3 linked regions of the Sus scrofa genome follow. The protein of the gene in region 2 binds, or shares a complex with, the protein of the main gene of each other region. Links are inferred from orthologs where the notes say so. Each region holds a gene or a part of one and is shown on either strand. Other genes may lie near its edges.

The links.
Region 1: EIF3G (region 2) and EIF3J share a complex: the UniProt entries of both Homo sapiens proteins name them as parts of the eukaryotic translation initiation factor 3 (eIF-3) complex. The link is inferred for Sus scrofa from reciprocal best matches to the Homo sapiens genes EIF3G and EIF3J.
Region 3: EIF3G (region 2) and EIF3M share a complex: the UniProt entries of both Homo sapiens proteins name them as parts of the eukaryotic translation initiation factor 3 (eIF-3) complex. The link is inferred for Sus scrofa from reciprocal best matches to the Homo sapiens genes EIF3G and EIF3M.

What each region holds. Positions count from the first base shown.
Region 1 is NC_010443.5:127,012,257-127,022,799, reverse strand, and holds the start of EIF3J (eukaryotic translation initiation factor 3 subunit J), read left to right. Parts: upstream 1-3,535; 5' UTR 3,536-3,669; coding exon 3,670-3,718; intron 3,719-3,803; coding exon 3,804-3,907; intron 3,908-10,543. UniProt on the Homo sapiens protein: Component of the eukaryotic translation initiation factor 3 (eIF-3) complex, which is required for several steps in the initiation of protein synthesis.
Region 2 is NC_010444.4:68,964,708-68,975,425, reverse strand, and holds EIF3G (eukaryotic translation initiation factor 3 subunit G), read left to right. Parts: upstream 1-4,777; 5' UTR 4,778-4,870; coding exon 4,871-4,890; intron 4,891-5,030; coding exon 5,031-5,077; intron 5,078-5,620; coding exon 5,621-5,704; intron 5,705-5,812; coding exon 5,813-5,901; intron 5,902-6,061; coding exon 6,062-6,121; intron 6,122-7,114; coding exon 7,115-7,219; intron 7,220-7,318; coding exon 7,319-7,508; intron 7,509-8,208; coding exon 8,209-8,316; intron 8,317-8,425; coding exon 8,426-8,562; intron 8,563-8,645; coding exon 8,646-8,752; intron 8,753-9,090; coding exon 9,091-9,106; 3' UTR 9,107-9,205; downstream 9,206-10,718. Other genes in the region: P2RY11 (P2Y purinoceptor 11), read right to left, coding at 9,508-10,613. UniProt on the Homo sapiens protein: RNA-binding component of the eukaryotic translation initiation factor 3 (eIF-3) complex, which is required for several steps in the initiation of protein synthesis.
Region 3 is NC_010444.4:28,258,761-28,268,764, reverse strand, and holds part of EIF3M (eukaryotic translation initiation factor 3 subunit M), read left to right. Parts: intron 1-2,887; coding exon 2,888-2,971; intron 2,972-3,825; coding exon 3,826-3,925; intron 3,926-4,532; coding exon 4,533-4,614; intron 4,615-8,244; coding exon 8,245-8,388; intron 8,389-9,549; coding exon 9,550-9,610; intron 9,611-10,004. UniProt on the Homo sapiens protein: Component of the eukaryotic translation initiation factor 3 (eIF-3) complex, which is required for several steps in the initiation of protein synthesis.

The sequences.
Region 1 (10,543 bases), on a different chromosome or scaffold from region 2:
CAGCAAAGAACACAGACAAAATCCCTGTGCTCTAAACAGATATTAAATAAGTAAACAAGATCACTGGAGATTGTCATAAATCTATGACAAAAACAGAGTGATGAGCTAGAGTAATTGGGTGAGGCCCCTTGCTGGACAGAGATCAGGGAAGTGCTTTCTGCAAAGGTAACATTTGAACTTTGGGTTTAAGGAGGAAGGAAAGCCATGTAAAGAGGTATGGAAAGAGCACTGTAATACACACATGATATATAAAATAGATAACCAACAAGGACCTACTATAGAGCACAGGGAATTCCACTCAAAATACTGTAATAACCTACATGTGAAAAGAATCTGAAAAAGAGTATATATATGTATCACTGAATCACTTTGCTGTATACCTGAAACTAAGATAAATTCAAATATACTCTGGTAAAATTTCTTAAAAAAGAAAGGAAGAAAGCAAGAGCACTGTAGGTAGAAAGAACAGCAAATACAAAGTCCAAAAATAGGGAAAGGCTTAAGCAGCCTCAGAGGGCCAGCAGCAATGATATTAATGGGAAAGAATGGCATAAGAGGGTTGATGGGAGGCAGGATTTCAACTGGGAGGAAGGGGTGTGATGATCTGATTTGCATTTTTTTTTTCTTTTTTTCTTTTTAGGGCTTCACGCTCAGCCTCAGCGTATGGAGGTTCCCAGGCTAGGGGTTGAATTGGAGCTGCAGCTGCTGGTCTAGGCCACAACCACAGCCACGCCAGATCGGAGCCTCATCTGCAACCTATACCACAGCTCACTCTGGATCCTTGACCCACTGAGCAAGGCCAGGGATCAACCTGCGTCCACATGGATACTAGTCAGATTCTTTCCTACTGAGCCACAGCAGGTATTCCTGATTTACATTTTTTAAATAAACTGCCTGGTGTGTAGTGAACGGATTGTGGAGGGGGAAGAGTAAAAGAAAGAAAACAACTGGAAGGTTGTTATAGTAGAAGAGTCTATAGAAAGCTTGGATTAAGGTGGAAGCACGACACAGGGGGATAATTATATAAATTCAAGATTAATACTGGAAGTAAATTGCAGACCTTGGTGATGGTCTGAATTTAAGGGGTAGATGGGAAAAGAGAGCAAGGATAGCTGCCAGGTGTTACCTCCACTCACTCAGTGTCCAAAGGCATGATCCTCTACTGCTCCCTTCCCCTCCTCTTCCATATCCAGTCAGTCACTATACTGGGATTATTCATAGAAACAGAACCAATAGGATGTGCACGTAAAGGAAGAAAGATTTATTTTAAGAAATTGGCTCACGTAATTGTGGGAGTTGGCAAGTCTGAAATCTGCAGGGCAGGTCAGCGGGCTGGAGACCCACAGAAGAGCTGATGCTGCAGAGTCCACGGGCAGTCAGGAGGCAGAATTTCTTTTTCCTCAGTGTTTTTCTTAATGTCTTCAATTGACTGGATGAGACCCATCACGTTACAGAGTGTAATTTGCTTTATTCAAAGTCTGCTGATTTAAAGGTTAATCACAAACAAAAAAACATATTCACGGCAACAACTAGACTACTGTTTAACCCAAAACAGTACCATGGCCTACCCCAACTGACACAAAATTAATCACCAGTCACTAAATTCTGTTGATTCTGACTTTTAATTATTTCTCACATTGATTCCTTCATCTCTATTGCCATTGCCTTACTTTAGGGTTGTAGTCTCACTTCATAAAATATTTACTAATGTATTAGATACTGTGCCAAATGCTGGAGATAAAACTTTGAATAAAAACAGATTGTGCCCTAGGTACCTTACATTCTTCCTAGCCTTTCCTTGCCACCAGTCTTGCCTCCTTCCAATCCCTCTTTATAAAGGGATTAAAGCCTCTCATGCTTCACAGTCATCCACAGATTTTTTTTTTTTTTTTTCTTTTTAGTGCCAGACCTGTGGCATATGGAAGTTCCCAGGCTAGGGGTCCAATCGTAGATACAGTTGCTGGCCTATGCCACAGCCACAGCCACACCAGGTCAGAGCAGCAACTTCGACCTAAACCAAAGTTTGCAGCGACAGCAGATCCTTAACCCACTGAGCGGGGCCAGGGATCCACCTGGCAACCTCATGGGTACTAGTCAGGTTCTTAACCCACTAGACCACAAAAGGAACTCCCCATCCTCAGATCTTCTTAAAAGGCAGATTCTGATTCTGGGCTGGGATCTAAGATTCTACATTTCTAACAAACTCCCAAGTGTGGCTGATCAGGAAAAAACTTTGAGTAACTGGGCTGCAGAATATCTTTTGGAAGACCATCTTTATAAAATGTGGTCTATTTGTAGACTCACTGAAAAAGATACATAAGAAATGGGGAACACTGGTTGCCACCAGAAAGAACATAATGGCTGATCATCCTATATACCCATTTGAATGAATGTTGTACCAAGTACGTATGTTACATATTCAAAACTAAGAAATTAAGAAAACAACAAAAACAAAAATATGTTTAACAGCTCACCTTTTAAAATCCTGAAGTGGAGCTCAGTGGCCCAAGCTAGGTGCAGCTTAGCTCATCTTAAACCCTTTAGTATTATAAATTTATCTTTTCAGCTTATCTCTGATTGCGCCATTCAGTCAGAACAGGGACCACAAGCATAAAAGGCACTGAACACATTTCACTTGGTTGGTCTTTAAAACTCTTTATCGGCCTCACTTACCCTCAGGTAGCCTTTCATATATCCTACCTCTCTTCTCTGCGGTTAATGCTATCCTTTTACACTAAACCTCACAATGCCTTTTTGTTGCAGTCATCTCACTGTGTCGAAATTTGTTTATATGTCTATACTTGAGTGAGCGAGGACAAGGCTAGAGCTTACGCTTAGCGCAGATCGAGTTCCGAAATTATTCTGCGAAAAGAATGAATAATGTATTGACTTCAGGGGGCTCACAGGAAGGAAAAATTCTTGAACATGGGGACTCCCTTCCATATCTTCGTGACTACCTGGAGGCAAACGTGCCAGGAGCTGACTGAACACCCTGACTGGGAAGACTGCCAGGAGCTTGGCCCTCTCTATTCGCTTCTTCCTGGCCGCCCCATGCACCACCGGCTTCCAGAGGGATCCCGCCTCGTTCCGCCAGCGACCGCACCCTCCTGGGGTCGGGGAGCCAGGCGACTGCCGCCACAGGCGGGCTCGGCGTTCAGAGCCCACTTCTGAGTGCCGCGTGGAGAGGCTGCGGGTTTCCTTGGGACCAGCCAGAGGCCAAGGGTGGCGATCCATGTGAACAGAAGGAGGGCGCACCCGACCGGTCCGGGCGGGTATGGGTTAGGATGGCAAGGGCAGGAGAGAGCCAAGCACCGGGAAAAGGACTGCCCTGCTAACTTCGCCGCACTTACATTTTTCTCCCCAGGGCGTAGGGTGGCTGCCTCCTAGCCTCTTCCTCTCTCCCCACCCCACTAGCAGACAGGACCACCCTGCTGGGTGCGTGGGGTACTGGACGCTCCGCCTCGCCCACCGCGTTCCACGCCCCCTTCCCGCCCGCGAGAGCATCGCCGCCGCCGCCGCCGCCAGAGGGGGAGGAGCCTGGGCCCCGGCGTTAAGTCAGCCACAGTCCCAGCCTGCCCCGCGCCGGCAAACGAGAGCAGATCCAGTGACTCACTGCCGCGCTAACTCCTCGCTCGCTGTCGCCTCACACACGCTCATACCCGGCGCGAGATGGCGGCGGCGGCGGCGGCAGCAGCGGCGGGGGACTCCGATTCTTGGGGTGAGGAGAAGTTCCGGGGGTAGGCCGGGGCTGGCGCCAGCCCCACGCCCAAGCAAGCTTTAACACAGCTCGCTCTCTTCCGTAGACGCAGACACGTTCTCCGTGGATGACCCAGTGCGGAAGGTGGGGGGCGGCGGCACCGCCGGCGGGGACCGCTGGGAAGGCGAGGACGAGGACGAGGACGTCAAGGTGGGTGCGGGTCGGGGCTCCGGCCAGCGCGGGAGCGAGCTGGCGCCGTCGCGGGCCGGGGTGCTCGCCGAGGGGCGGTCGGTCGGACGGACTCTGGGCCCAGAGGCGCCGCCCCGGCCTGCGGGCTGTGGGTCTAGGCGCAAGCGTAGGGCCTGGTGGTGCCCTGTTCCCCTCGCTCGCCGGCCCTGGGGGCCGGAGGCCGATAGCGTGGTCTCTCGGATTTCCTTGGCGAGGACGCCAGCCCCATCCCTTTGAAGGACCGCACTCCGGCCTGGATCCCACTCGCCAACTGGCGACGGGAGGTGACAGCAGAGGCTGGACCGGCCCACGTGCAAACTTCGCGGTCCGGAGCTGCTCTTCAGTGGTGAGACTGGGAAGTTGAGGATGGAGCCTCTGGCTTATCCCATATGGAAAGTCTTGCACCCCATTGCTTTTTCGAGCTCAGGTTTCCCCAGGCCAGTAACTCATTTACATCCCAAGCTTCATTTGAAGAGTTTGTTCGAGCTGTTAGAGGAGTGAAATATTATGATTTAATTTCAGCCACCTTTTTTTCCCCCCACGCAAATGAAAGAATTTTTAGCTTCCTTTCTCCCACCCTATGGTAAAAGGGTGAACTGAGTATTGAGATAGCTAGCAGTTAGTGGTCAGAAACCTGGGTAGTCCACACAGCGACCTGAAAAATGGAGAGGTTTACAGAGTGAGTTTTTAATAACCTACACACGAAAGCATAAGGAAATAATGAAGATTTGAAGGTTGGAGAAGACGAGGGAGACAGTGATTTTTTGTGTGTTTTTCCTATGCCTTATAGATTTGAACCCAACTTACTCTCGCTGTTTGTTTATGAAAACTCCTGGGGGCTCATCATAAGACTTCAGATGACATTATGACTACTGCGTTTTGTTTTTGTTTTTGTTTTTGTTTTCAAGTATCTACAGAGTCTCAAGGGTGGAATGTTAAGACTTATTAACTAAGTTCTCAAATACTTCATTTTTGTGAAAATCAAGTTTTGTATGATTTGGAAATTTTTTTTATGGTTTTGATTCATTTGGTGAATGTTTACCCTTCAGCTCACTTTGACAACCCTACAAGTCCTTCTGCTTGTGTTGAAAAAAATTTAAGCTAGATAATCACTATGAGCTTCATATTAATATTGCCTTTTTTAGATTGTACCCTTTTCTCCTGAATCTGATGAGGTGGATGTTCAATTCATTGAATTGCCTGAGGTTCAAGTATGATTTGAGTTTTGCAGACCTTGGGATTAATAAATGAGCAATAGTATTGTGAAGATACTTAGATGCTTCATTTACATGTTGTGTAGACATGAGAATGGATTGTGTTAGCCTCATTGCAAGATACTAGTTACCTCCCTACGTGGTGGCAGATTTTCTGTCTTGAACCTTTAGTTCAGATTTATCCTTTTACTTTTTCTGTGCATAGTGGTTGTAGGAGTTAAGACATCTGTTAAGAAAATTAGGAATGAGTGAGAAGAAACAACTAGAGAAATCAGGAAAGAATTACCAAAATACGAAGTTTGAATAAAGTAGTCTGGATTAATATCATGAGGTAGCGTGCCTGAAATTATTTGATATAAATGCCATCAATCCTGATAAATACAGTTCTAGCCACTTGAAATTAATTTTGGACATTTTTAATTGGTGAGGGACCATAAAGATCATCTTGTCCAGTCATTTTTAAGTGCAGAATTTCTTTCTTTTATACAAATAGCGTACTTCTTTTACAGAAACTTTGATGTAGATCTTGGAATAGAAAGCTGAACTTGTTCATTTTATTTCCATGTTGAAATATTGGTTTATTTCTGTTTAGTTTCTCCAAAGATTTCTAAGATAAGGTATCCATGGAGTAGTTTGATTCCTGGAATTTGGAATCAGACAGACCAGAATCTATGCTGTTGTCTTGACATTTTCTATAAAGAATTTTTAAATTTTTTAAGTTTCCCAGTCTTCACAGAAGCTACCTCAGGAAATTATTTTGCATTTTCTATTTTTTGGGGGGTTTTGTTTTTGTTTTTTGCTTTTTTTAGGGCTGCACCTGCTGCATATGGAGGTTCCCAGACCTTTGTTCCCAGACTAGGGTTCTAATCAGAGCTGTAGCTGCGGGCCTACACCACCACAGCCACAGCAACACCAGATCCCAGCCGAGTCTTCGACCTACACCACAGCTCATAGCAATGCCGGACTCTTAACCCACTGAGCGAGGCCAGGGATTGAACCCACAACCTCATGGTTCCTAGTCAGATTCCTTTCCACTGTGCCACTACGGGAACGGGAACTCCTTTTGCATTTTAAATGAGATAATGTGTCAAGCATTAAGCATAGTTACCTGGCACTTGGTAGGCGTTCAATAAATGTTAATTCCGTCTCACTTGAGGATGTAGTCTTAATTTTTCTGGTTAATGGAAAATTTGTTAAGGCTGTGTAGATCTAGTAGCTGAGGGTTATTTTTGTGCCACAGTTTGTGGTTTATTAAGCTTGAAGGAGTAAGTTCTCTCCACAATGGCTGTTTACTGTGAATTTGTTTTGAATGGAATGACCATGGTTATCAAGCAAGTTTTTGCGTGCTCAGAGGTTACCAATCTAGAGTTGAAATTTGTCACCTTCAATGTTAGTGAGTACAGGTTTTCCCTGCTACCCCCCAAAATAGAGCATTGCTATGAAACCTTTCCTAAGCTAAAAGAAGCAGTTAACCTTAGGACACATCTTGCTAACAGATGCACAAAATAAATCAAGATAAAGCACAAATGCTTACAGATACAGTGCAAAGCTGTGTATGGTACCTTGATGCTGAGATACTGGGTAGCTTGGGAAAGGAGCTTAGCAATGCAAGTCTTGCTGCTTGGGATGCACGCTGCCTCTCTAATGGCTCCTGGCAAAACAAATGCTGAATACTGTTTTCACTTGTCACAAAAGCAAAAATCCTCTTTGGATTTCTTTCATCTAGTGAACACAGGTGCCAATGTAGGTATTCATAAAAGCGTTCCGAAGTGGTGTAAAGTGAACTTTCAAAAAGAGGGGTAGGAGTTCCATGGCTCAGAGGGTTGAGGATCTGGTATTGTCACTACAGCAGCTTGAGTTGTTGTGTGGCGTGGGTTTGATCCCTGGCCCAGGAACTTCCACATGTCGTGGGTGCAGCCAAAAAAGGGATAGCTATAATACCAAATTTCTGAATTCTCATGTTTTAGCACTTAATCCTTTTGTAAGGGGATGCAAGCAAAGTTTAGTTTCCAGCAGGAAAAATACTCCTAGTCCTTAAATAATACTGTATGTGAATTTTTTTAAAAGTCTTCAAAAGTAAAGTATGTAGAAACAGTTAAGTTCTTCAGTTTATGTCAGCATCCAGTGTTTATTTAAGAGTATAGGTTTAATGTCGTTTGTAATGTCCTGAGAAATGAAAGGAAAACTGAGGTCTGTGTTAGAGTAACTTGTTCCAGTAGTTTACTGTCTTTAAGTAGACATAGCATTTTGATGCCCTTGACTTTGCAAGGAGCTGTCTGAAAGTGACAGAGTGGATTTGGGTGAAACTATAGAACTGTTAATATTCATGAGGGAAAGCCCAAGCTTCTTCCCATTTAAGGTGAGAATTAGGGAGTTCCTGTTGTGGCGCAGTGGTTAACGAATCTGACTAGGAACCATGAGGTTGCAGGTTTGATTCCTGGCCTTGCTCAGTGGGTTAAGGATCCAGCATTGCCCTGAGCTGTGGTGTAGGTTGCAGACCCGGCTTGGATCCCTTGTTGCTGTGGCTGTGGCTGTGGCGTAGGCCTGTGGCTGCAGCTCCAATTAAACCCCTAGCCTGGGAACCTTCATATGCCTTGGGAGCGGGGCTAGAAAAGTCAAAAAGACAAAGAAAAAAAGAAAAGTGAGAACTAGGGAGCGTACTTTCCTGTCAAATTATTTTCCCTTTCTTATTATCCTCCTGATGTTATGCAGAGGCAGTGGGGAGAATTGTTTGCTTGGCATGTATCTCTGGATTCTTTCCGTGTTGCTGGAATGATGTGTAGACTGTTAAGAAGGCAGTGAGTATCCATCCATTGGTGCAAGCAGGAACAAAACAACTTTTACTCCATTTTACTAGTTTCCTGTCATTTCAGTAAAACATATTCGAAGCTACATTTATTCAGAATGTGTAGAGTTTGTTTTTTGAGTTTTTTCTTTTTTTGCTGCCCCTGTGGCATGCAGAAGTTCCTGGGAAGATCCTAAAGAACTGACTTAATAGAAAACTGCCTGCCTTATCCTACCCATTGAACTGCCTGTTAGACTTCAATCCTGTTTAATAGTTTAAATATACTAGAGTAAGGACATTTTTCAAGCTTTGGAAACAGCACTTCTGAAGTAAGGGATCTACATTTCAGAGAAATGGGAGATTGTTGGGAAATTCTCAGAAGGTGGGCATTTTGCTAGGAAATGGTATCTGCAAGTATGTGTGTGTAACTTCTTGTGAGAAATAAGTACAAAGAAAAATTTAGTAAACCCATGACCAATCTTATTTCTTCTATATCCCCAGTTACTGCTCTCCTCTCCCAACCAGATTATTTTGAAGACAGTACTAACTATATCATTTCAATACCCTAACAGGTTTTATAAACTAGGAAGTTTTTAGTTAGGAAGCATGTTTGTTACTGAAAAATACTTAACCTCATTTAATTATCATGCTGTACCATTGAAAATAAATACGCCACTTGTTTAGTGTTCATTGTCTTATTCTTGACCTAGCTTAACCAAGAATTTGATTGATAACAGTTCTGAATATGAGAGAAGTTGGCATCAAGATGGAATTCAGCTGAATGCTAAGCCATAATAGGATGTTGAAAACTTAATGAATTGAATTAAATGAAGTAGAATTTATTGAGGCGGGTACCATGGCTTCTAGAGACCAGCATATTTCTGAGGTGATGGAAAAATATTTGGGCTTCTTTTAAAAAGTAGACTTTGCTGGTAGGTCTGCCTATGGCAGGAGCTCACTAGAGTTCTGAAGTCTGTCAGAGTAGGTTGATACAGCTTACAGAAAACCAGTAAAAGACGTTTCCTGCAAGAGATTATGCTTTATCTAAGCCAAACTACTTAAAAGAGGAAAAGGAGGGAGGAGTATATTTCAGTTAATGGGTTATTGCTATGGGACAGAAGAATTTTACTGCTCATTTGAAGCTACGTCTATTTGACGATCTATAAATATATCTTGCTTAAGTTGGAAAGCATTTTCAGCCCTAAATGTGTTCTCTCATTGCATGTGACATTGTGTAGTTGTACATTGTAAAAATGACAGACTAACCAAATACTGGCTGCATTATTAGAAATAAAAAGAAAGGATTTAAAAAATTTGTTTTGTTTCAGTTCTTATTCATATTCGATTGGGAAGCAGGCTTTAAACTTGAAAAGCAGCCATCCCTTTCAGAAGAAAACAGCTCAAATGATGCTGGGTGTGTATCTATAGAACAAGAGTATAGATAAGTGGGTAGTTTATAAATAGTCTCTCTTCTAAGGAAACTAGGCATTTTAGGAGAGTAACCTGGTTGATACTTTGAGAGATAAATTGGATATTATTTTTAGAGGATTTATTGGCTACCAAAAATAATTGAGTGAAGAATTTAATTGGATATTGATAGGTAATCTCTTGAACCAAAGAGTCATTTAGGGCTTACTAAATTATAGATTTACTCCCTATTTCAAGAGTTAATTTTAGGTGTTTCTCTAGGAACCTTGCATTTTATCTGAATTGATTGTTAGCATTTACAAAATTGTGATGTTTATGGAAAATTGGGCAGATTTAGATATCCTACTTTTTATGTACTTTTATAACTGAAGAAGTAAAAACTAAGTTCCTGGGAAAGCTACCTGGCCTTCTGCATCTGAGATTACATCTATTGGAAGTATGGTCAGTCATTTTTGGCTGACATCACCATGCTCCCTTCTTTAGGGACTTGTCCCTAAAGTGGGAGTAACATCAGGGCAAGACTTGTTTCAAGCACTATAAGGTAAGGGTGACAGGCAAAGGCTGCTTTTTTTTTCTCTCTCTCTCTCTCTCTCCATTTTTAAATGTTTTATTGAAGTATAGTCAATTTATGATATTATGATAAGGCAAGGCTTGCTTTTCATGGTCCTTTTATGAACTGGAAGAGCAGATGTCATGGTTGTTTCCAGGACTAATTGATAGGAACCACTTGTTTTGCCACTAAAATTGATTGTATAGTGGAATTCTGGGTAACCTCCTCATGTTTGCACTGATGAGACGGTTTAAAAACTGTCTGGAATAAGGTTTATGCTTTGATAGGGAAACCAGGGACGGGATAGAGGTGGGACATGAAGTTGGCGTGAATAAGATACTGAAGGAGTAGTGATATGGGTGGGGCAGTGTTTTATGTAGAGGGAGCTGAGGAACATCAGCATCAAACCGTACTGCTACCCTTTGTGTCTGTTTCTCTGTGATAGAGTTATTGAGATGGAACTGCTTATTTTCTTTTTTCTTTTCTTTTTCTTTTTTTTGTCTTTTTGCCATTTTTCTTGGGCCGCTCCCACGGCATATGGAGGATCCCAGTCTAGGGGTCCAATCGGAGCTGTAGTTGCCAGCCTACGCCAGAGCCACAGCAACTCAGGATCCAAACCACAGCTCATTGCAATGCCAGAT
Region 2 (10,718 bases):
TTTCCAGTGTATATAAAAGTAAACTGCAGGAGTTCCTGCTGTGGTACAGTGGATTAAAAATCTGACTGCAGCTGTGCCTAGGATTTGATCACTGGCCTGGGAACTTCCATAAGCTACAGATGGGTGTGGGGAAAAAAAATTGCTTCCTAGGGATCAGCAGGAGGCTTAACCTACTGAGTGAGGCCAGGGATCAAACCCCACATCCTCATGGATGCTAGTTAGCTTCTTAACCCACCTGACAAAAATTGGCTTACAAAAATTGCTTCCTAGGGAGTTCCCATTGTGGCTCAGCAGTAACCCAACTCGTATCCATGGGCACTCGGATTTGATCCTTGGCCTCACTCAGTGGGTTAAGGGTCCAGCATTGGGGTGAGCTGTGATGTAGGTCACAGAAGAGGCTCGGGTCCTGAATTGCTATGGCTGTGGTGTAGGCCGGCAGCTAAGCTCTGATTCAACCTCTAGCCTGGGAATGTCCATATGCCATGGGTGCCAGCCATTTAAAAAAAAAAAAAAAAGTTCCTATAGCATATGTCATTTTCTAGCTTGTTTACTCTCATCTTAGACATTTATTTATTTATTGTCTTTTTAGGGCCGCACCCATGGCATATGGACCTTCCCAGGCTAGGGATATAATTGGAGCAGCAGCTGCTGGCCTACACCACAGCCACAGCAATGCAGGAGTTTTAACCCACTGAGTGAGGCCAGGGATCAAACCGCGCATCCTTATAGATATTATTCGGGTTCTTAACCCACCAAGCCAAAATGGGAACTCCAAGATATATATTTTTTTAACATGTCCCACAAATGGATCTATTTCCTTAAAGACTGCATAGCACTTATATTGATGACAGAATAGCATAACTTGCTCTATTCAACCAACCTGGAATGGACAGATAGGCATTGCCAGTTTTTGCTATCATGAACAATACTGCCTGGATAGCTTATTCTCATATCTTTGTGTGTATTTACAAGTTTTTCTCACAGGCTGAATTATTAGCTGACTCAAAGGAAAATATATATGTGCATTTAAGTTTTAGTAGATATTGTCAACATTCCATCTAAGAGTTTACATAACCTCACATACTAAGAAAATATGGGAGAGTCTTTTTCTCTACATCTTTGCTACCATTGGGTAATAGCAATTTTTTACAGTTTTGCCCATCTGCTCCATTGTTTGGATTTTGTATTTCTTGGAGTAAACTTGAGTGAGGTTGCACAAATGTTTATTGGCCCTTTGTACAAACTTTGCATTTTTATCTGGGCTGCTAGACCACCCTCTTTCTTTTTTTTTTTTTTTTTTTTTTTTTTTTTGGTCTTTTTGCTATTTCTTGGGCCGCTCCCACGGCATATGGAGATTCCCAGGCTAGGGGTCCAATCGGAGTTGTAGCCACCGGCCTACACCAGAGCCACAGCAACACGGGATCCGAGCCGCGTCTGCAACCTACACCACAGCTCATGGCAACGCCGGATCGTTAAACCCACTGAGCAGGGGCAGGGATCGAACCCACAACCTCATGGTTCCTAGTCGGATTCATTAACCACTGCGCCACGACAGGAACTCCTTTTTTTTTCACCCTCTTTCTTTCACTCATTTTCCCAGCCTCCTTCCTGGTCTCCTACTTATTTATTCCTTTCCATTCTATTCTCTACATGCTTCCAGAATAATCTTTCTCATAAGAAAATCTGATTACATTGGTCACCACTCAAAATATGTCAGTGACCATACAGCCTGCAGGGTAAAGAGCCTATCCTCCTTAACCTGATTTAAAAATTCTTTTAGGAGTTCCCTGGTGGCCTAGTAGTTTAGGATCTGGCACTGTCACTGCTGTGGCTCTAGTCACTACTGTGGTATGAGCTCAATCCCTGGCCTGGGAACTTCCAAATGCCACAGATGAGGCCAAAAAAAAGTTATTTATAATCTGGTTCCTGTCCCATCCCAAATGTCCATTAATTGAACACATACTAAGTACAGACACCCCATGGGTGTTGGGGACCCAGAGATGACCCAAATAGGCAAATGTCTGCTTTCTGCAGCTGGCATTCGTGAGCAGTTTTTCTCAACTATTTTTTCATTATTGCTCCTTTCTAGGTGAGAAATGGAATTATCCTTAATTAATTAATTTTGTCTTTTTAGGGCCACACATGCAGCATATGGAGGTTCCCAGGGTAGGGGTGGAATTGGAGCTATAGCTGCTGGCCTATGCCACAGCAACATGGGATCTGAGATGGGTCTGCAACCTACACCACAGTTCATGGCAACATCAGGTCCTTAACCCATTGTGCAAGGCTACGGATCCAATCTGCATCCTCATGGATGGGAGTCAGTTTTGTTGTTTTTTAATTTATTTAATTTATTTATTTGTCCTTTGTCTTTTTAGAGCTGTACCTGTGGCATATGGAGGTTCCCAGGCTAAGGGTCTAATCAGAGCTACAGTTGCTGGCCTACGCCAGAGCCACAGCAACACCAGATCTGAGCTGTATCTGCAACCTGTACCACAGCTCACGGTAACACCGGATCCTTAACCCACTGAGCAAGGCCAGGGATTGAACCCACAACCTCATGGTTCCTAGTCGGATTTGTTTCCGCTGCACCATGATGGGAACTCCTGGATGGGAGTCAGTTTCGTTTCCACTGAGCCACAACTGAACTCCTATCCTTAATTTAAATCAATTTAATCTAATTACATTTAATTTTCCCCTAACAATAGAAATTAAATATTCATAAGTAATATTTTGTCCTGGAGGGTTGGCTTAGGAGGGCTATAAGCCATCACAATGTCTAAGGTTTTTTTTTAAGCCATCTAAGAATTTATTTTGGCTCTCTTGGGAGCCATATCACTCCCGTTGAGAATGCTCTAGGGGGACAGCTGGATTATAAACAAGTAAATGGAAAAGATTATATTAGAGAAGCCAAGAATGTTACTAAAGGAGGGAGGGATTTTCCCCAGTGGCTCAGTGGCTTAAGGATTTGGTGTTGTCACTGCTGTAACTCTGGTCACTGCTGTGGCACAGGTTCCATCCCTGGCCTGAGAACTGCCAAAAAAAGAAACAAACAAAAAAAGATGGAGTTCCCATAGTGGCTCAGCCATAAGGAACCCAACTAATATCCATGAGGATGTGGGTTCAATCCCTGGCCTAACTCACTGGGTTAAGGATTCAGTGTTGCTGTGAGCTGTGGTGTAGGTCGCAGATGAAGCTCAGATATGGCGTTGCTGTGGCTGTGGTGTAGGCCAGCAGCTGTAGCTCCGATGAGACCCCCTAGCCTAGGAACCTCCATATGCTGCAGGTGCAGCTCTAAAAGGAAAAAAAGGAAAGGAGGGAGAATGGTTGAAGGGGCCACTTGACTGCTTGATCATTTTGAATCAGGAAAGCTCTTCCATCGCTTCTCGGCCTTTTGGCTAAGATCAAGTGTAGGAAAGCTCTTCCCAAACAAGGAAGACTAGCTTTGGTTTCTTCAGCTGTAAAATGGAAATAATTTTCTCTCCACAGTTCTCGCAGAATTCAATAACTGAGCTTTATTGCTATTAATAACTTTTTTTTGTCTTTTTAGGGTCGCATCCACCACCATGCAACATACGGAGATTTTAGGGCCTAACCCACACCCGTGGCAAATGGAGTTTCCCAGGCTAGGGACTGAATCATGGCTGTAGCTGCTGGCCTACGCCACAGCCACAGTAACACAGGATCTGAGCCTCGTCTGTGACCTACACCACAGCTCAGAGCAACGCTGCATCCTTAACCCACTGATCAAGGCCAGGGATCAAACCTGCATCCTCATGGATTCTAGTCAGATTCATTTCCACTGAGCCATGATGGGAACTCCTGTTATTAATAACTTTAAATTTTTTAAAAGGTAAATGAATTAGAAAACTATATATAGAACTACCATATGACCCAGCAATCCAACTCTTGGGCACATATCCAGAGAAAACTGTCCTTGAAAAAGATACATGCGCCCATATGTTCATTGCAGCACTATTTGCAATAGCCAAGACTTGGAAACAACCTAGATGTCCATCGACAGATATGGATTAAGAAGATGTGGTATATATACACAATGGAATACTACTCGGCCATAAAAAAGAACAAAATAATGCCATTTGCAGCAACATGGATGGAACTAGAGACTCTCATACCAAGTGAAATAAGTCAGAAAGAGAAAGACACATACTCTACAATATCCCTTGTATCTGGAATCTAATATATGGCACAAATGAAAGTTTCCACAGAAAAGAAAATCATGGACATGGAGAACAGACTGGGGTTACCAAGGGGGAGGGGGAGGGAGTGGAATGTACTGGGAACTTGGAGTTAATAGATGCAATCTATTGCCTTTGGAATGGATAAGCAATGAGATTCTGCTGTACAGCACTGGGAACTATATCTAGTCACTTATGATGGAGCATGATAATGTGAGAAAAAAGAATGTATACATGTATGTGTGACTGGGTCACCTCGTTGTACAGTAGAAAATTGACATAACACTATAAACCAGCTATAATGGAAAAAATAAAAATCATTAATTAAAAAAAGAAGATAAATGAGTTCTTGCTGTGGTGTTGCTGGTTAAGGACCTGGACTTGCTACAGCTGTGACATTGGTCACAGCAGCGGCTGGGATTTGATACCTGACCGGGGAAACTTCCATACGCCACCCGCGGGGCCAAAAAAAAATGGTTAGAACTGCGCCTCTACTCAACTACCTAGTACCAGAGCCCAGCCTCTAATAAGCCAGCGCCTCTACCTCTGTCCACAGGGCGGCACTGTGGGCGCAGCGGCCGGGCTGCTCTAGGCGGCAGAACCGGAAGTCTCGTTCTCCCCACCTTCCGGTCTTTGGCCCAGGCTTGGGCTGCGTGGGGAAGGTTTTAGCTATGCCTACCGGAGACTTTGAGTGAGTATGAGGTCGTGGAGGGGGGCTTGGGAGGCAGATTGGGGGTCCTAGGGCGTATTATGGGGCTCGGGTGCCCCGAGGCCGTGGGATCCGGGCCTCGTCTCACCCAGCCTTCCCCCGCGGCAAACTTGTCCCCGCAGTTCGAAGCCCAGTTGGGCCGACCAGGTGGAGGAGGAGGGAGAGGACGGTGAGTTTGCCCTGTTGCCCAGGATCACCGCAGCCAGCCCCCAGCCCGTCACTGCCGCCTGCTCCAACCCCACCACCCCGACCCTGGCGCCGTTGTCTGACCCAGAATCTCCCTTCACGGCCAGCCCCTGCCCCGCGCCATCCTCATCAGGCCAGCCTGTATCTCCCATTACAGTTGTTCACCGGCCAGTCCCTCTTCCTCCCATGCCACCGTCAAAGTCCTTGGTACCAGCCTAGCTGCTCCCCTGCTCCGGGGAGGAAGTTGTCACAGCCTCTCTCCTGTCTTTGTACTAGCACGGGGATGCCTTTGGCCCGCCCCTGCCTTCATGCCTGGGATCCTCTATGCCGGGCATTGCTGGAAGTCACTACAGTCAGCTCCATGTCCCTGCACGACTCTCCCAGGACACTTCCTGGCTAGTCCCCTACCCTTGGTCCCACCTTTCTTAGCTCCCGGGAGGGGCATCATCCCAAAGGTCCCTCCATTTCAGCTTGGGAGCTCCCCCACCCCCCAGCTGACCCCAGCTCCCCACACTCCCTCTCACAGACAAATGTGTCACCAGCGAGCTCCTCAAGGGAATCCCTCTGGCCACCGGGGATACCAGCCCGGAGCCTGAACTACTACCGGGAGGTGAGTGACAACCTCCCCGCCATCCCTGGGTTGCCTCTTCCCCTGCAGAGTTCCTGCCTGGTCCCCAGTACCCAGGGCTCAGTTCCTCTGTCTCTCCCCCTCTCCCAGCTCCACTGCCACCTCCCAAGGAGGTCATCAATGGAAACATCAAGACAGTGACCGAGTACAAGATAGATGAGGACGGCAAGAAATTCAAGGTGAAGGTTGGGGGAGGAGGTAGATGCCCTTTGCTTGGGGGCTCTTGGACTAGGAGAAAGTGGTGTGTGCTGGGTGGGTTGATGAGGAAGATACCCTGGCCCAGGCCCTCGGAACCTTAAGGAGCAGGAAGCTCAAATTTCTCCCCTCTCCTACCCACAGATTGTCCGCACCTTCAGAATTGAGACTCGGAAGGCCTCAAAGGCTGTGGCAAGGAGGAAGGTAAGACCCTCCTCATCCTGTCTTGGGGCCTCCCCCAGGGCTGACTCAGAGAAAATAAGAATCCTTTTCCCCAGTGCCTGTATTTATTTGGCTATGCCCGGGGCATATGGAAGTTCCCGGTTTACGGGTTGAATCAGAGCTGCAGCTGCCAGCTTACACCACAGCTACAGCGACTCGTGATCGTAGCCACACCTGTGACCTAACCCACAGCTCAGGGCGATGCCGTGTCCTTAACCCACTGCGCAAGGCTGGGAATCGAAGCCATGGATACTGCTGAGCCATAATGGGAACTCCTTAACTGTACCAATTTTGTTGGAGCGGAACTGAGGCCTAAGGGTGTTTGCACTCTGTCGGGGTCCTGAAAAGCCCAGCATGTGCAGGAGTAGGGGGGGTTGTCCGCCAGCAGAAACAAAGCCAAGTCCTCCCCTGAGATGGTCGTAGCAGAAAAAGTCATGGCAGTAAATACATTTGGCACAATTACCTGTGCGCTTTCTCTGCGTTAGACCCAAGCTCTTTGCAGGAAGCGTTTTCCCATTCAGTTCCCCTGGAATTCCAGGGAGGTGGGGGTCCATTGGGGTCCCTTTTCCTGGAGGAGGCAGCTAGGGTTCAGATTGCTTAGCTAGCTCTGGGCCCCTGGAAGTCTGGGTGACCCCTACGCACCCTTGAGCATCACTCCCTGGTAGGAGCTGGTCCGCTACCTGCACCACCCCAGCAGGAGTTGTTGGCTGTGGAGGGGATTGTCCCTGAGCCTCAGTCCTCTAATCTGGAGCATGGAGCCTAGAGCTGCCCTTGCCTCTGGAACTGGTGTGAAGCTAGGGCCTGGCATGCGCTCAGGGAACAGGAACTGTCTTTGTCACTGCTCTGAGGGTCATTTGGGGGAGGCTGGAGAATGGGGTTCAAGGCCCTGGAGCAGACATTGTAAGTCTAGGGAGCCAGCAGAGGGGTCCTGCTTGGCCTTGCTCTGACTTGTCTCTCATCCCACCCTGAGCTCAGAACTGGAAGAAGTTTGGGAACTCAGAGTTCGACCCACCAGGGCCCAATGTGGCCACCACCACGGTCAGTGATGATGTGTCCATGACATTCATCACCAGCAAAGAGGTAAGTAGGCCAGGAGGCTGGGGCCAGTGGCCAGGGTGGTGGCGGCAGTGGCGGGGGGTGCGGCAGTCCCGTCTGAGCTGCCTCTGCCTGCCCTGCCAGGATCTGAACTGCCAGGAAGAGGAGGACCCAATGAACAAGCTCAAGGGCCAGAAGATCGTGTCCTGCCGAATCTGCAAGGGCGACCACTGGACCACCCGCTGCCCCTACAAGGACACACTGGGGCCCATGCAGAAGGAGCTGGCCGAGCAGCTGGGCCTGTCTACTGGCGAGAAGGAGAAGCTGCCTGGAGGTGCTGGGGCCTGGGGACTCGGGGGACAGGGATTGTGTTCACCTCCAGGAGAGTTGTAGGTTGTCACCTGCTGTCTGAACAGGGCCACCGCTGTTGGCAGTTGTCATCTCCCACACAACAGCAAGGCTGCAGCCACAGTCCATGCTTGTGTGTGTGTATGAGAGAGACTGGCGGTGGCTGCTGTGACTGCTGGCGATGTCCCCTGTCCTCTCCTCATTAGGGGCTGTGAGAGCGGCTCGTGTAGGCTTGCACATAATAAATACACTTTGCCTGCAGTGTCTGCATGCACACACCCAGGGCAGACTCACTCATGTGACTGTAAGTTTGAGTCTGGACAGCTCTACGCCCCTGACTTATGTGTGCGACTCATTTGTCACCTGCCGTGTGTGTGTTGGGGGACAGGGGGTGGAACCTGGGGACTGTCCCTATCCCGTGTACCTGTATTTGTGTTCCTATGTTGTGAGACTGGGTGTCACTGTGGGTTCTCACTTCTTGTGCTGCTGGCGGGTGTATAAATGACGTCGGCTTCCCGGATGTGACTTTTAAGTTGTGGCCCTCAGGCCTCGAAGGGCCCAACCGTGTGTGTGGTTTGACAGACGGCTCTTGGGCTGGATGGTGGCCAGAGCTGCCGGCATCCTGGGGCAGATGGGTCCCTCCATCTGTGCCGGGAGAGGCTTGACCCGACCTTGTTGTCCTCCAGAGCTGGAGCCTGTGCAGGCCACACAGAACAAGACGGGCAAGTACGTGCCTCCAAGCCTGCGGGACGGGGCCAGCCGCCGCGGGGAGTCCATGCAGCCCAACCGCAGAGGTGAGGGCACCCAGTTGCCGGGCCGGCGGGGGCGGGCACTTCCCTGTATCCTGTGATCATCCCACGGGCAGGCGCGGCCCCTCACAGACACCTCTCCTTGCCCACTCAGCCGATGACAATGCCACCATCCGTGTCACCAACCTGTCTGAGGACACTCGTGAGACCGACCTGCAGGAGCTCTTCCGGCCCTTTGGCTCCATCTCCCGCATCTACCTAGCCAAGGACAAGACCACTGGCCAGTCCAAGGTGGGCTGGTGGCCATGGGGATGGGGAGGGATCCTTGGTCCTGTCTGTGCCCCATGTGCCCCTGACTCCACCCCCTCCTCCAGGGCTTTGCCTTCATTAGCTTCCACCGCCGTGAGGATGCCGCCCGTGCTATTGCTGGGGTGTCTGGCTTCGGTTATGACCACCTCATCCTCAACGTCGAGTGGGCCAAGTAAGACCCCTGCCCCTCCCCCCACACAGCGTCACTGCTGACACTCAGGCTGGCTGCAGGCCCTGCACCAGGTTAACATTCACCATGCCTGTCCTGGGGCACAGATCATTTATTGTCCTTTTCCTCTGGTGTGGAGGGTTGGGGCAGGACCAGGCTGGTCACTGCCGGTCTGTCTCTTTGTGTGTCCTGGGCCACCACCTTGTCTCACTCTGCCCCACCCCCCATCCCTTTTGAGGTCCCTATTGTGTGTGGCGGTGGGGGGTCTTGGGATTCTCTTAGGGGTATGAAGCCTCTCCGCTAACCATTCTCAGCCACCTCACGTCTCTCTCTCTCTCTAGGCCGTCAACCAACTAAGCCAGCTGCTGCTGCTCCGTCCCCAGCCCTGGGATCCTTCAGTGACCGAAGGCTGGGGGCAGGGGTCTCCAAGGGTAATAAAAAATCTCCAGTTGCCCAGTGCTGTTCCATTTATTCACAGATGTCGCTCACACTGTTGGGGGGTGGGGCCATCCTGCCCTCCTTCCTCCCCCTCCCTGATGTGGGTTTATTTCCTGGCCCTGTCCAGAGTTGGTGCTGTGGCAGAAGTTCCTGCCACTCTGGCTTCAGTGCTCCCTGGTCCCACTCTAGACCTTTCTGTGGAGGAGTACGCTTAGGGCCTATTGAGGATTCAGGGCCAGGGGCCTGCTGTGCTCTCAGCCCCTATTCTTTTGCCAGGTCCCAGGATCTGGTGATGAGGAGGGGGCTAGAGATGGTCCAGGTCATGGGCTCAACTCAGGGGACTGGGGCCCTGAGGTTTTGGGAGTAGCTGTGACATTGAGTGGCAGGGATTGGCTGGAGCACTCGGCCTTCTCCGGGGTCTGGCCCTCCCTGCAGCCAAGGCAGTGTTGGCGGCAACAGCCCAGGCTGGGCACCACCGCCATGTAGAGCAGCGGGTGGATGCAGATGGCCAGGGGGATGAGGCCCCGTGTTACCTGGTAGGCCACATATGTCCTCCAGTCCAGTGCCTTCTCAGCCTGGGCTGTGCTTGTGAAGCCTGGGCAGAGGGCCCTCCAGCGCTGCCGGGCATACACGTTGAGCACCTGTGTGACATAGTAGGGCACATAGGAACTAGCATAGAGGGCCACACCACTGGCTACCAGCACTATCACGTGCAGCTTGTTGGCCGCTGTCATGCCGTGGCTACGCCGCACGGCCCGCCCCAGGGCGCCATAGGCTGCCAGGTTGAGCAGCAGCGGCAGGCCACAGCCCAGGGCCAGCAGCACCAGGCCATAGACTCTGTAGGCCTCAAGCTGGTTGTCATCTGCCGTTCCTAGGCACTTGATGCAGGCCTCCGGTGTGGCCACAGTGCACCTGCCTTCCTGCTTCGGCCTCTTCAAGTGGGAGAAGCTGAGTGTGGGTGCAGCCAGCAGGGCTGCCAGCACCCAGCCAGCAGTGCTGATGGCCCAGGCGTGCTTGGGCTGCAGTTGGCTGTGGGTGAAGAAGGGATGGACAATGCCCAGATAGCGGTTGAGGCTGATGCAGGTGATGAAGATGACGCTACCCAGCAGGTTGCAGGTGAAGAGGAAGCGCTCCAGGCGGCAGGTGACCTCCCCATAGCGCCAGTGTTTGGGTGGGTAGAAGTAGGCAGCCAGCGGGGGTAGTGTCAGGGCATAGAGCAGGTCGCTGATGGCCAGTTGGGCGGAGAAGATCACGGCTGGGTGCCATGGGCGCTGCTCCCGTGTGCAGAAGCGGTACAAGGCCAGACTGTTGCCAGCAAGGGCCACCAGGAACTCAGCTACCAGCATGGGCCACAGAAAGTCTTCCTGGAAGCCACTGAGGATGCGGTCAGCAGCCGCTGAGAAGTGGGCTGGACAGTCCTTATCACCTGTGGGCAGAGGGTGTTGCTGAGTGAGCCCTGTCCCTGAACCTGGCACCTGCTCCCTTCAGAGTTCCAAGTGCCTCTGGCACCACATACCTACCACAGACTGGG
Region 3 (10,004 bases), about 41 Mb from region 2:
CTTTTTCTTCTTACTTTTTTATTTAGAGCAGCCCTTTCAGTATTTCTTTGAGAATGGGTTTAGTATTGCTGTACTCTTTTAGTTTTTGTTTGTTGGAAAAATTGTTTATTTCTCTATTTTAAATGATACTCTTGCTGGGTAGAGTATTCTAGGCTGCAGATTTTTCCCTTTTAGAACTTTGAATATATCTTGCCACTCTCTTCTGGCCTGTAGTGTTTCTGTAGAGAAATCAGGTGATAGCCTTATATGGGTTCCCTTATAATTAACTGTTTTTCTCTTGCTGCCTTTAGAATCCTCTCTTTATTTTTAAATTTTACCATTTTTAATATAATGCTCTTGGTGTGGGCCTGTTGGGGTTCAGCTTGTTTGGGACCCTCTGTGCCTCCTGTATCTTGATACCTGTTTCCTTTAGATTTAGAAAGTTTTCAGCCATAATTTCTCCAAACATATTTTCCATCCTCTTTTACTTCTCCTTCTGGAATCCCTATTATGTGTAGATTGGCCCCCTTTATATTATCCCATAGATCTCTTACATTGCTGTCATGTTCTTTCATTTGGTTTTCTGTCTGCTGTGCTGATTGTGTGATTTCCAAGTCACTGATATGTTCCTCTGCATTATTCATTCTGCTCTTTGGTGCCTTTAACTCAGCTTGCTTCTCTGCAAATGAATTTTCTAATTTTTCTTGGTTCCTCCTCATATTTTTTAGTTTTTTTCTAAAGTAATCTGCATTACTGTTCATATCTGCTCTTGATTCTTTCAGTATTTTCATTACCTCATTTTTGAACTTGGTGTCTGTTAGACTGCAGAGGTCTGTTTCATTGTTTGCTCCTTCAGGTGAATTCTCCTATTTTAACTGGGAATGGTTCCTGAGTTTCTTCATTTTGCTTGTATTGTTGTTCTGTGAGTTTAGGGAAAACAACTACTGTAGTTTTGGAGGTCTGTATGTATGCGTGAGCACCCCTGGGGTATTTTGTGAGGGCTTACGATTTCTTTTTAGGGTTCTGGGTGTGCTTCCAGAGAGATGGAGGCAATGGACAGGGCTTGTAGCCAGTGCCTGGTTGCTGGGTCCTTGACAATGACAAGGACCTGCAGGAAGGTTGTGTAGGCTAATCCTAGTTGCAGGGCCCTGGGAAGTGATAGTGACCCTCAGGCAGGTGTAGTTGGTACCCAGAGCATTTGGCAGTGAGAGCAACAAAGGGTGGTGCTTGGTTGCAGTGCTGACCTCTGAGATGACTGGGGCTGTAGGTGGTGCCTGTTCATGGACCCCTAGTGGTGGCAGGCCATGCCCACTTCTAGAGTATGAGATAAATGAGTTTGCCCCTGCCACCTGTATACCACACAGGAGCGCCCTGTTGCGCTTAGCCTGTGCAAGAGGGGCCCGTCGCCTGTAGCCCCACTCTCAGAGTCGAGGCATGCGCAGAGAAAGATATTCCTATGGTGGTCTACTCCTCTTTCTGCCCTCCCCAACAATAGCACCTTGCTTCTCCTGTGGGCCCAGATCTCCCAGTTTCCCTTGGCTGTGGCATTCCGCTCCACAGCCCTTGGTGCACCAGTCCCTAACGCCCCTCAGGCTGTCTCCACACAGCCAGCTCTAGTCATCTCCCTGGAACTGACCTCCAGAGCCTGAGTCTCCACACCCAGCCCCTGCCCAAGCATCTCAGGCTGTGGTGTCTTGGGAGGTGATATTGATGGTTTGTGCGTGGCTCTCTCTCTCTGCTTTGCCCTCCTCAGTCCAGCTGCTGTGCTTTTCTCTGTGGCTTTGAGGTCCCTCCGTCTTGGCTTATCTGTCAGTAGGCTTCCCAGGGGTGGGTTCCTTTCCTCCTTCACAGTTCCCTCTCAGGAGTGCTAGTCCCGTCCTGATTCCTTTCACTCGCTCTCTCTTTTTCCTTTTGTTCTACCCAGTTATGTGAAGGGTTTCTTGCCCTTTTTGGAGGTTTTTAAAGTCTTCTGCCAGCATTCGGTAGATGTTCTGTGCAAATCATTCTGTATGTAGGTGGGTTTTTTTTGATGTGTTTGTGGGAGAAGGTAAGCTCCATGTCTTATTCCTCCGTGATCTTGATCCCTGAGTAGAATATCTCTTTTAAAAATAAATGGCATGGATTTTATTTTACCCGGGTTGAATCCAGATGTGTGTGTGGGAGATGGGAAGATTTTTAGAAAGCACAAAGTGGGGAGGGGAATCCCAGCTACTTCTCCTACTTAGCAAACTTGCTATAACTGGCTGAAGATTCTTCAGTTTAAAGGAAGAAATGAAGGAGGAACATTATTATTAAACATTTTCTAGGAGTTCGAGGTGAATGAATGCCTTTAATTATTTTGTTCTTTTCCCTGCAGTTAAAATGGATAATCTACATAATTTTAATTTTAAAGGTGTTTGTAAGGATGTCATTAGTGGAGTCGTATAAATATTTGGTCTTGGCTCACCTTCAGCTATACCAAAACAAAACTTTTTTCTCACCTAGGGCCTTTATACCTAGTCTTCTCACTGCTTGAAAAGTCATTCAACTCTCACATTCCACCTCTAGCACTTTTCATGGCCAGTTATTTTATATCCTTTAGATCTCAGCTTATATGTCATTTCTTCAGAGAGAGACTTTCCCTGCTCATTTTCCATATGAGGTAGTCTTTTCTTTCCTATCTCTGCTCTGATGACTCTATTACATCACCGTTTATTTCCTTTTGGCACTTACTTTTTGTTACTTTTCCTTAGTTGCCTCTTTCTGACTAAAAGGAAAGTTCCATGACCTTTCCCCTAGAGGAGGACTGTCTCTCTGGATCATCATTGTATGCATCATCAGCACAGTACTTGGCACTTAGTAAATATTTTTGAATGAATGAGTGGCTGTAATGACACTCTGAAATTCCTAAAGCTGTATTTCTTTTCAGTGATGCTGCATCAAAAGTCATGGTGGAATTGCTAGGAAGTTACACAGAGGACAATGCTTCCCAGGCTCGAGTTGATGCTCACAGGTAACGTTAAACACTGTGTTCCAGTGACCGCTCTCAGCAGGGTGGAGGTGAGCTACAGTCTTCAGTCATGTGACTGAATACATCCACCAGTGATCCAAAGCCATTTGATACCATGTGCTCTTTGATGATTCTAATGTAGATACCAAAATTTAAGATTTGGTGTTGAGAGCACCATAGGATACATTTGAAATGACCACATGGTGTTTGTTTTCTTGGGTTTTATGGGAATGGCAGTTCTCAACATGAGTAGTAGAACCTAATCTTGGGTCAGTTTTACCTTAATATTCAGCTGTGTAGATGGGGGAAAATGGGTGGCTTTCTAAAAACTTAGAAATCTATGAAATAGAAAATTAAGATAACTTCTTTATAGGGCTCTTGCTTCACAATAACCTGTACATGATAGGTGTTGGTGGAAAAGGTCTCTGACTCTGAGGTCACAATGCCTGCTCAAGTGCTTGACCACTTAATTAGCACTTCCTGGTTCTTTCTAAGCTAGTTTCATCATTGATAAAATGAGCGTGTTAATAGTGTATGTGCCTCAGGATGCTGTGAGGATGAAACGAGGTGATACATGTTAAAGCACTTACCTTAGGGTCTGGCATATGGTTAAATACTGCTGTTGTATTTATTGTTTGATTACTCTCCAGCTATATTTTTGTGTACAGGTAATTTTATTAAAATGTATAGCTGATAGATTGACTTTTTTTAACCCTAATCTTGTAGCTTTTTCTTATGATGTGTATATTGAACTCTCAGATATTTTACTTAGTTGAGTGTATTTTGCAGTCCACAAAGGCAGTGAAAAGTACCTGAATTTCAAGACTCTGAGCTTGGATTTTTGTTTTCTAATTAAGGTGTATTGTGCGAGCATTGAAAGATCCAAATGCATTTCTTTTTGACCACCTTCTTACTTTGAAACCAGTCAAGTTTTTGGAAGGCGAGCTTATTCATGATGTAAGTAGTTTATCTGTAATGTGAAAAATGTTCTTTTCCCCTAAATCTAACATACTGAGCCAGAACTCTCTTGATATTAATGAACATGACTATTAGATCTGGAAAGAGAACTATTTATTCATTCTATATCAGGAACAGACTGAAATTTAGGACCAGCATTAAGGGTTTCTCCAACCACTGAACACACTCCTGTTCCTCTTCCCCTTTCCTTCATCTCCTCACTTTCCTGGCCATTATTAACTTAGTACAAATTTCTTTTTAGCATACAGTGTCAGCTAGCTCCAATTAGCAAGATAAATCTGATATTTGAAAAACACAACACACTTTTCAAATGAAGTGTATTTTGGGCTGTTTTCTATTTGTACTATGTCATTACCACCATCTCTTAGGGTACACTGTTTAGAGCTCACTGTATCTACTTATTCTTTCATCTCAGTTGAGTCTGATAAAAGCAAATGGTTTAGATATTAATTTGATCAAACAGATTGAAATTTCTGCCAGAAAGAAATGCGTAGTCTTGTTGCTGGGAGTTAGTGTCTTTTTAAAAATATCTTGAGCATAAATCTTGATTCCATTGTGACAGGTTTTTTTGTTTCTATCTGTTTAGCTTTTAACCATTTTTGTGAGTGCTAAGTTGGCATCATATGTCAAGTTTTATCAGAATAATAAAGACTTCATTGATTCACTTGGTAAGTTTTGAGGATTTTCCTTGGGGGAGGGGTGGTAGAAGAGAGTGATGGGAATGTGAGATCCTAGCACATATGAACATGGCCTTATGTGTAAATTAACCTAACCAGTGACGTCAGGATCTTATTCCTTAGGTACATGGTGATTCACATTTTTGGTACTTTAAAAGCCATAGTCATAATTGTAACAAATAGCTTTTTTCTTCTTAGGTAGTATCTTTTACTCGGTTGGCTCCCCCCCGCCTCCATTGACAAATTGTATAAGTATTTTGTATTGCTAAGAAGATACAACTAAGTGAAATTGTAGATGGGGTTAGAAATGGAATTGTAGTGGTTTTACATGATAAAAGAAACTTTTCTAATTACACTTTGTTGAAGATAGCATAGTAAGTCTAAACTTTGATTTTTTTTGTTTTGTTTTGGCCACCTTGCAGCATATGGAGTTCCCAGGCCAGGGGTCAGACTTAGCCAGTTGTGACCCAAGCTGCAGCTGTGGCAATGTCAGATCTTTAACCCACTGTGCCGGGCTGGGGATTGAACCTGCACCCCAGTGCTGTAAGATGCTGCTGATCCCGCTGCACCAGAGTGGGATGCTCATAAGCTTTGTGATTTTTATCTTTGAGTTCTCTTTCTAGAGCATCAAAGCTCACTAATTGTTGCCAAATTGGATTTACTCATCCTCACTGAGCAAACTGCATATATATTCAGTATTTCCTCCTCGAGCATGTTTTTAACATGCCGAAATTACAGGGAGAAAACTTAGAAAATATTTAGTTGAACAGGTTTAAATTGTTCTAAACCCATTTTTAAAGAGTGACATCAACTGAAACCAAGTACTCTGTTTTTCTACTAGGTAATAATCAGAATTAGAGTCTAGTGATATTTTCCATATTAAAGTTGAATTGTTAGTCTTCCTGACTGAGGTGTAAAGAATACATTTATAATCTACTTTGATTATACTATTAGTCCTCAATTTGGTAATCTTAATTCCCATCACCTGTAAATTCTGTGCAGCCATTGGAATTGGGAAAGATTGAATCATTCTGAACATAATAAGCATTTGAAATACACCAATATAAAGGAGATGCAAGTGTGTTTGTGCTGAAGGCTTTGCCAGGTGCACTAGACCCAGAAAACCACATTCTGTCCCAGTTAATTTGTTTTGTGGCATGAGCTATGTGATGGAATGTTAATGTCAGCAACCTCTTTATTTACGCACCAAAGAAAAAGGAGTAGTAATTAACACTTTGACACTCCCCCATTGATGTGTAATTGACTGTTTCAAAGGAGCACTGGTTCATAAGCTATTGCATGCATTAAAATTACGTTTTCTATATTGCAGCATTTTAAGACAGGGGTCAGTGACAATGCAGAAATTGTTCAATGATGCACATTTTTTTATTACTGCATTAAGGTTTTGACATATTAGTAATGAATAAATGTTTCCATAAAATTAGATTTTTTTATAACTTTAAAATTGAAATATGGCATAGAACACTGACTTCATCTTTGAAGGTAATGTTCTACTTTCATGAAACAAAGCACAGCTTTCCTACTAGTCTTCTTCACTGGCTTAATAGTTTGATTTTGAGAACAGGAGTCTTAAATGCTTTAAGTTTGGTTCTTTGTTTTAAAGTACTAGTGACTTTAAACATCAGTTTAAGTGTTTTTAAAGTCCCGTTTCCACATGTAAGGTCGTGGTTTTACATAATTGATTCTAGAAATAATCTTCAATCCTCTGATAGGTTTTTTGATTTATAGTAAGTTGTAACTGCACAAAGAATAGCAGTAAAATTCAACTGAGACTATTTCTAATGATAGCTTAGAAATTTTAGAAGTTTTATCATATTAAAAGAGAACTGTGTCTGTAGAATTCATAATGTTAAGGAAATATTCTTGTATTGCCAGATAGTGAGAAAAATCTTAAGTATTTGCTGTCTGTGGTAGGGGAAACATAATAGCATCTTTCATTCATTGTACGAACCAGAAATCAGTTTCCCTGTTTTGCCTTTTGTTTCTTGCAATCTGTGTGAATTAGAAATCATTTATTAGAACTTTGTCTGTCTTTGAGAAAGACATTAAGTATGTATTTTGGTTTTAGATGTATCATTAAACATTTATTACAGCTGAAATTCTGGTTAAAATGTCTGGATTCCACAGGTGGCATCAGTTTATCTCAAAACACTTTGTTTTATTAACACTGACAACTTGGGCCAACAGTAGCACTATCTTGTGTCAACTGAATTGCCCTAACATGTCCACATGTAATCTGGTGTTATCCAGTTGCTACCTTCTTGTTTCGGAAAGTTAATCAGCATCTAATTTGCATTTGTTAATTAGGGTTAATGTGCACTAATTGATTTTTTGATGCTTGTAGATTTCCATTAAACCCAGTTAGCAGTACTTACTTGGATACCTCATTCATTTGAGTTATGATGATCATGTTTTTGTTGAATCTGTGCCAAATAGAAAGCCTGCATTATAATTACAGCTAATTAACAGACGATTATGTCCTGTATTAATGGGCTTCCCCAGGCTTCTGCTAATATATGAATGTTACAAATTTCAGATTTATTTATGGAGTGCTTAGAACTTTTTTAACAATACAACTTGAGGCTCTTAATTACTTAAGGGTTCCTGATCAGTCATTTGCTGAGTTTACATAATCTTAAATTTCAGAAAAAAGAAACATGTAAATCTAGATTAATTTTAGAAACTTGTTTTTGTAATTAAGAAATTAGCCTCAAATGAAGTATATTTGATGGGTTATATTGCAGCTTCTTTTTAGGAATGGGTAATAATTTAGATGTTCAGGATTTGTAGATAACTTATATTTCTAGTGATTTATAAATGAACTTATTTTCTAGGCCTAGTACTGCCACTTTGTAACTAATAAGTCACTTAATATCTTTCCTCTGCAATTTTGTGTTTTAAGAGATAGGATTGGGACTAGGTAATCTGTTAAATTTCCTTCTAGGTCTAACAGTTATTTGTGATGTGAGTAATTGTAAATAGAATGTTTCACTAGAAATTACAAGGCAAAATTTGTACTTTTCTACTTTAGCTTAAAAAAGTATCACTGTTAATTTATCTAGTACTAATCATTTTAAAACTGTAAATGTTAAATGATAAACATACTTTTGCAGTTCTGACTTTTTTAAGTATTAAAGTATTTTAAAACTCCATATTTACCAGTAACACTGATACAGAACAGATAGTAAGTAATCTTGTATTTAAGAGGAGAGCTATTAGTAAAAACAAGCTTAAGCAATTAAATAAAAATGTTTATGAAATGTACTTTGTGTACTCTATCTCATAAATTGTATAAATATTAAAAATTAAAATTACATAACTTTTAGTGCCTAAAAATACCAATTGATAGCTCATTCTTAACTTTGAACTTAATCACCTCTGACACTGAAGCAATAAAGAAATGCGTTTATAGAGAAATAATTTTAGGTGCTCCATAATTATGGGGTCAGTTTATGGTTTGCAAATACAAGAAACTTTGTGAAACTTAATTCTGTATACATGCTCACGCACAGTGACTTCCACACTTTAAAACAAGGGTTGTGTTGTGCAGGTCTTTAATAAGAGTGGATTCTTACCTGGCTTCTCTATTGTGTTACTCAGGCCTACTACATGAACAGAATATGGCAAAAATGAGGCTACTCACTTTTATGGGAATGGCAGTGGAAAATAAAGAAATTTCTTTTGACACAATGCAACAAGAACTTCAGATTGGAGCTGATGATGTTGAAGCATTTGTTATTGATGGTAAGCAACTGGAACATTTTCATTTTTTTCCTAGGATTTCTCCTACCCCATGGAAAATGAGATTTTTATTCTTGAAGCTGAGCTTTATGCTAACATTGCTAGATCCTTTTGTAACAAATGTGTTATGTTTAGTAGGTTAGCAGATTATATTTGTCGTAGATTGAAAATTCAGTGGAAACATAAATTGCATGTATTAAGGATCTGGCATTGCTGCAAGCTGCGGCATAGGTCACAGATGCAGCTTGGAGCTCCAGTTCTACCCCCAGCCCCAGGAACTTTCATATGCTGCAGGTACAGTTGTAGCTGTGGGGGAAAAAAAAAAAAAAAAAGCCTAGATTTTAGAATCAGACCTACATTCGAAACCACATCTTCCTCTAGGAAACCAGAATATAGGAGTTAATTTGTGGTTGTGAGGATTAAATTAAGATGGGTAAAAGCACTCAGCTCAGTGTCTGTCACATAGTAAATGATCTGCAAATGTTAATCATGATCAATTTTTTATAATTGGCCTAGAATTCTTCCCCAGTAATTGCATTTATTGTAAAGTGATTTAACTGTTAATTAGGATTTTTTTTATGTGGTTTTTAAGAGTAATGTACAGAAATGTTGATAGGCTTCTTTCTAATGCTTGGTTTGAGTCTCAAGTAGTCCTATAAAGAACTAATACCTTATTAGGGGAACCCCCCCCCCTTTCCCTGCATGATTGCAGGAATAGGACCCTAGAATTCTTTTTGTTTTTTTAAATGGCCACAGCTACAGCACATGGAAGTTCCTACCACCAGATCCTTTAACGCACTGTGACAGGCCTGGGAGCAAACCTGCGCCTCTGAAGAGCAACACAGGCTGCTGCAGTCGGATCTTAACCCACCGCACCACTCTAACCCACCGCACCACTCGGAACTCCAGCACTAGAATTCTTAATGAATACCCTCTGTGATATTTAATGCAGATAGGCCTAGCAACCAGAGGACAGATGCATTGCTTTCCTTTTGATTGCATCATATTGTTATGCTTGTTGTTAAATTCAAAGAGCCAGTTTGTAAAATAATGTTGGAAAACTGTAAAGTTTATTATGGCTTATGGTCACAGTTTCATTCCTTTAGGCTATTTTTCTTAGGAATTTCCCATATAACATGTCATGTGTAAAACATCTTTTTTCAGCGGTGAGAACTAAAATGGTCTACTGCAAAATTGATCAAACCCAGAGAAAAGTAGTTGTCAGGTAAGACACTTAATACTTCACAGCATTTTGTAGAACAATTTAGTTTGTTCGGATTATTTCACTTAAATGTTTAGAGAACCCAAGGTGGTGTTCTTATCAGTTGACTGTAGTTAAATAGTTGCTATTCATCATAATTTTATTAAAGTTGAGACTGAATGTGATTAGCTTATTTAATGAAAGAGTCCTATTTTCCAGCACATTTCATTTAATGGCTCAGCACTGGCCAGAATACTAATGACTTCTGTGTCTGGTTTATGTAGTTCAGGAAAATAGATGGTTTAGGATCAATATGGCTAAATTTTTTTTTTTTTAAATAAGCTTCTTATTCTCTTACAACTCTAAATTGTCTTCTATGTGTATTTAACCTTGTTTTTAACTAGATACAAGTCAGTAA